2 linked regions of the Danio rerio genome follow. The main gene of each other region encodes a partner of the protein of the gene in region 2 in a complex. Links are inferred from orthologs where the notes say so. Each region holds a gene or a part of one and is shown on either strand. Other genes may lie near its edges.

Region 1 (2,551 bases), on a different chromosome or scaffold from region 2:
TTTGGATTAAAAAATAAAACAAATTACAGTGACAACAAAGCTACAACTCATATAAATAAAATGTGTTGTTTTGTTAGTGCAAAGTAAGTTACAAAACAAGATGACGCTTCAGAGAGGCTGGTCAGTGTATACTGATTATAAAATTTGTTTTTATAAGCAATTTACAATGCTGATATTACAAAGAAATGCAACAGAAACAGGTAAAATAATGGTATAAAAGCAGTTCCCCTCAGACACAATTATACTGGACTACACACAACAGCTAGAAGCATTACATGTCTGAAAGGCCTCAAAACCAAATCTTTGGAAAGTTGTATAAACATGTTTATTAAAAAAAAAAAAGTTCCATTGACATTTTTTTTTTAGATCGCACAAGATGCTAAATCTACAGGTGCTGACTTCTGGTATAGTTTGGAGAGCTAAGATCAATTCTGCTGGATGTTTTACATCACCTCAGTTTCATTGAGCACTGTTACAACCTCAAACAAAACAGAATGTGTGAACAGATCACTTAATGTTTTACAAAAACTTTTTAATCATACAAATATAAAATGAAAAAAAAATAATAATAATAATACAACTCGGCATCAAGCCAAATCTATTTACAGTCCAAAATTCCCACGGTGAACATCTTCATGTGTGCCAAGAGAAGGGTGAATGACGCCACCTGCTGGAAGAACATCACAGGCCGACTGATGACAGCTGCCCATCAATCATCAATGGTGGGTAACCAGAACGCCTGTGCAGGGGACATTTCAGAATATGTTTGTGATATACATCAGGAATAATGATGCATCTATATACACCTTAATAAAATGGGAATGGCTGGTGATATTAACGTCCTGTTTGTGGCACAATAGTATGTGAGGGGGCTTGTAAATAACTCATGAAAGAATAAAATTGTTAAAAGCAAGCACATCATTGTTTTTTTTGTGTGAAATTCCCAATAAGTTTATTAAGGTGTGTCCATTTAAATGGCCCACCCTGTATGTGTATATAAATATAAATATATATATATATGGCCGTCAATTAGTGACTACTGCAGTATTTACACAAAGAAAACGCAGAAGATTTTAAGGACAATTTGACAACCCTGTGTACTCTTTTTATATCACATTTTCCCCATTCCATTTCTCCAATAATTACCATAAAAAATTAGCAGTGAATGCTACTGACTAAAATACCTTATACTAAAAAGGCTGTTTTATACAGTTGTTTTATGTTCATCTCTTAAGTTCTTTTTTTTTAAGTCTGCATCACAAGTCACAAAAATAAACAATAATAATAAAAGTAATACTTTAAAATGAGGCTAATATTTTTCTGATCTATTTACACAAACAAAAAACACATATGCTTAAATAATTGTTTTGAGTTTAACATTCACAGACTACAGTCCATAGCAATTTCCTTTTCATTCATTTAAATTCTGTGAATCTTTTATAGTAAATTATACTATCGATTAGATTGCACCATTTGACATTTTATTATTTTCAGAAAGCATAGAGTACTAAACGAATGCAAAGTAAAAAAAATGCCACTGAGATGAACAGGAATACTAAGGCATATACTGATGGCTGAAGGTCTGGGAACTTTGGCAGATTTCAATGGTTAAAGAACCACCCATGATGCCATTTCAGACTGACAGCTTTACCAACCAATAACCATTCGTTTTGTGTTGTGTCTTATGTATGTGCGTGGAAGAGTCTACAGAATGCCTAGCCATATGCGTCATCCATTCAGGTCTTCAAACGTTTACAACAACGCATCAATATACTTAATGATCTGTCAGCAAAACATATAGGAAATCAGTAGGAGATGTATGTGGACGCAGACTGAGATAAACATTGCAGCAGTTTTTTTATCCAATCAGACTTGTTTCCAGGTGGACTGGTTAATATTGCTGTACACTAGACTCCCAGAAATCAGAGGACAACTGATGATCTGTTAAAGTGTTTCCAATTAAGTGTGCCATATGCATCAGACATTTAGCCACATGTCCGTGAGCAGTGTTTGGCATGACATCTAAGACTAACTAATTCATAACTACCTCCAAGTTTCTCCCAAAACAAGTTTTGAAAATGTGACAAATTGCACATATTCCATCTACATATACAGTAAGTTATGCCAAACATCAGATTTGTGTCTACCTTCGGTTAAGTCTTACCATGTTAGAACAGGCACTGGCAAAGGTCATGAATTTGGGGTTAAACTGTAGACATGTAACAGGACCAGTGTGTTTCCCATCCAGAAGCGCTACTTTCATCCCACTCTCAGCATTCCACACATGGATCTTCCCATCTTCTGATCCTGGAAATGTTGAGGAGACACGATCAATCTCTGTAAACTCATCTTAAGTCCTTTTGTAGTCCTGTGAGAAGCTTAAGTGAAGACTTACCGATCATAATGAACTGAGAGTCTGGTGTGAAAGAAGCCTCCAAAATGACACCTTTACTGTTGTTATAACCCTGCAGTAAGAAAGAGAAACACTCTTAAAAGTGCCTTATTATGCTTTTTTCTAATATAATCATAAATGCTTTGTAATAATTAGGCT
Region 2 (3,521 bases):
TCCCAACCACAAGACTTATCTGACAGGGGATTCGAGTGTCATCGAGAGTCAGAATGTTGTGTAACTGCTATACAGGAGTTATGATTAGGGATAATAGATAGCGATATTAGCAGTTTTTATTTTAGTGTTTTTGTTTTTTAAACCATGACGGTAAAACACAAATGCTGTTATGAATATATTAAAACATGCTTGTTTGTCGTAAAAATTCGTAATAACGACAAAATAAATACTAATTTGTGGATCTCCTGACTTCTGGTGCAGCTATACTGCCGTTGCGGCTGGTGTATTCTGGGAAATTTTCTTACCCCTTGGTTTCGAGTGTGGTCCTGAAAAATCTCATTTTGAAGGGGTATCAAGCCCTTCCCCTGAGCCCTACGCTATTAAGCTAAAGAGAATTGGGCCACCCCTACCCATTCACCTGAATGCACAAAAGAAGGGGTAAGGGGAAGGGTTAAGGGGGAGAATTGGAATTGGGCCATAATGTGCTGTGACTCGCAGATCGACTCCATGTCAACAGGAAAAGCGTCACACTTCTAATAGCACACGCTGTGCCTTTGCTGTGTAAATACTGTCAGAGTAGCTGTTAGCCGTATCAGTTTCAGCCTGAACAAACTTTACATACATTTAGGTTGTAAGCATGTTTAAGCAATATAAAACGTTCTCATATCTTTTGTGAGTTTGTTATTTGAGATGTAGAACACAGGGAAAGCGTCTGCATTGAGAGACACTGCAGTGCTGATGAAGGTTGTGGGTGTTCACAGCATTTTGACGGATAAATATGAATTTGTAGTTTAATTTTTAGCGGTGCCAAACAGCATTTCCTGTTGTTTATATCCTTGTCTAAGCCCTTGCTTTAACATACTGTTAACGCTAGACACTATGTCATAGATCAATTTTAACAAATAAAAATACTTACAGGTTGTGGCTCACAATCTACAGCTTCTTATATAGTGGTTGGATCTGCTCCTCCTTTGAGGAGTTTTTAGCCGAATCCAGCACTGAACTGTGAGAGATTCTGGATGCTCTCCCTTGTCAAATGCTAGCTATATCTTTATCATAATTGCCTGGAACATAATTAAAATTAAATTGTAAGCACTTCTCTCTTTGTGCCATGCCCTTTGGAAGCTCAAATACAGAAACAGAAGATGCTCTGTGGAAATAGCAGCATTTGCATGGCATTTTAGCCTTCTCTGCTATAACATTACAGCGCCTCCGACCATGCCCCTTCACTGTGCAGGGTGAATGTGCCTAACCTGAAGTGTATGTGATCTCACTAACCCAGATGTATTGTTTGTAGTCCCCAAACTTTTGCTGTAGGCTTTGCTAAGCTAACTCTGTAAAAGCCAACATCTCCCTTTGCATTGAACTTTGAGCGCATTACATTTAGAGATGATGTTTATGTTCACACAGCTACATTACACATCAACCAAAGCTTAAAATATTATATGATAGTGGACCACCCCTTTAATAGTGCATAAATGGAGAGGACATTTTCATTTGTGTGTGAACCATCCCTTTAAATATGGGAAAGCAAACCTCTTCAGGCTCCTCTGTCACAGCCTCATCTGTCCCGGTGTGCAGCTCCTCTCTGGGTTCCTCCACTTGCACCTCAACGGGAGCAGGATCATCTGCGGCTGAGATGCTGGATGCGGAAATCACAGGAGTGGCGCTCGCTGCTGTAGTAACAATAATCGGAGTAGACAGGTCAGAGTGTATTGAAGCGGGCACGATCTTTATCTGGAGAGGTGGAGGTGGAGTAACGGTGATGCCCACAGAACTGCCTGCTCCTCCACGGGGTTTGGCCTGAAGAGGCGGAGGGGCTTGTGTTTGCACCATCTGCTGCAGGCGGGGTGGAGGCGGTGTGCCCTGCATCTGCTGCAGAGGTGGCGGCTGCCGTCCAGGCTGTACGGCTCGCACACCAGCTGGAATCACCGTGACCATGGATGTTGGGATCTGGTGGAGCTGAGCGCCTCCTTGAAGCATCTGCTTAGAGATGATGATTTTGGTGACAGTGGGCGTCGGGGCGGGGCTTGGTGCTGGAGCTTGACCAATGGCTACAGGTAGAGAGCCTGTGCGGGAGCGAGTGGTGACCTGAGGCAGGTCCAGGATGATATTGGAGGCGCATATGTTGGTGATTGTGTTCTGTTCAGTGATGGGGGTCAGCCGAGGACGGATGGGGGCAGCAGGAGGAGTGTGGATGGGGGCAGGAGATGGCATAGAGGGAGGAGTGGCAGGAGCGCTGTCTTCAAGCTCAGAAGATGACTGGATGAAAGACGTTGAAAAAATAAGTAATATCAGATAAATGTGCAAATCAGAAACTGACAGGCTAGAAATTAGACACTCACTTTCGAGAGCTGACTTGCTCTGTAGGCCGCTAACGCTTTCAAATAGTCTTTCTTAGCTGCCTCTGTCTTCCTCTTGTAAACCTGCGAAAATTAATAAAATGAAAATTAAAAATGACACAAACTCTTAAATGGTACAACAAAGGCTTTTACACCATGTGTCTTAAATCATTTAGTGAAGTGACAAACCACTAATAAAATTAAAAATGTTGTATGTAAGGTTTTGATTTTTTTTTAAATCATAAAAATACCATAACACATCTGCAGATATTTAAGAAACATGCTAATGCCGAGTTGCATGATTTTAGCTCTGATTTTGACTCGCCAACAGGTTTTGTGAAATCGCCGACAAATGCCTTGTAACAATCACAGAGTATGAACTATCAAAGACAAGATCTGAGAGAATTGCAGACGAGTCGCTGACACCTGTGAGATATTTGACATGCTAAATATGTGGAGCTGTCGGTAATCTATAATCAAGCCGTGTGAAATGTGTTCTGATTGAAAATTACATCGGCGATCACCTACAGCCAATGAGAGAGCAGCATCCACTAGTATGGGTATCTGAGGGTCAGTGAGAGGTTGGGGGAGAAGTTAAAAGCACTTATTTTCCATCTATTTGGACCCAACAAATAGAGGAAAACTAGTAGAAATTTGGAAGAGCACTCGTGTCTGTTGGACGTGTCAGAGCAATATCACAACCAGGTCGAAAAAGAAAATGTTGAGAAGAAATAGCAAATTCCCTTCAAAAGTCATGTGAGCAAAATAAGTACATTTTCTACCCCACTAAAGGCGTCTTTCTCTTTTGATCTAATTATCGACTATAGATATACTACTTAACTTGATCTCGCGTGTTTGGTTGTGAAATGTAGTTTGCAGACCAAGACAAAAGTTGCCGCCGATTTCTACTATTGTAAAGTCATGTGGTTTGAAACCCCCTGTCGCCGATCCATCTTGCTGTGTAAACAGCACTGACAGAATGCTGCCCCTGATAGTCATGCAGTGTGAAAACATCCATGATGCGACTACTTTAAAAAAATCATGCAAATCTGTACTCTGCATAAGTGAACGCTTGTTATTCATGCAAATCTGAACTCTGCATAAGTGAACACTTGTTTATCTGAAAAACAAGAATTCAAGTCTGTTATTCTCCTTTGAAAATGTGCGCTCCATGTCGGA

Evidence for each region. Proteins that work in one complex are often made in the same cells at the same time.
Region 1: tox4a (region 2) and wdr82 share a complex: the UniProt entries of both Homo sapiens proteins name them as parts of the PNUTS-PP1 phosphatase complex. The link is inferred for Danio rerio from reciprocal best matches to the Homo sapiens genes TOX4 and WDR82.

The regions. Positions count from the first base shown.
Region 1 is NC_133181.1:44,014,752-44,017,302, reverse strand, and holds the end of wdr82 (WD repeat-containing protein 82), read right to left. Parts: intron 2,466-2,551; coding exon 2,396-2,465; intron 2,308-2,395; coding exon 2,165-2,307; intron 740-2,164; coding exon 710-739; 3' UTR 512-709; downstream 1-511. UniProt on the Homo sapiens protein: Regulatory component of the SET1/COMPASS complex implicated in the tethering of this complex to transcriptional start sites of active genes.
Region 2 is NC_133177.1:41,094,634-41,098,154, forward strand, and holds part of tox4a (TOX high mobility group box family member 4-B), read right to left. Parts: intron 2,427-3,521; coding exon 2,346-2,426; intron 2,263-2,345; coding exon 1,537-2,262; intron 1-1,536. UniProt on the Homo sapiens protein: Transcription factor that modulates cell fate reprogramming from the somatic state to the pluripotent and neuronal fate. In liver, controls the expression of hormone-regulated gluconeogenic genes such as G6PC1 and PCK1.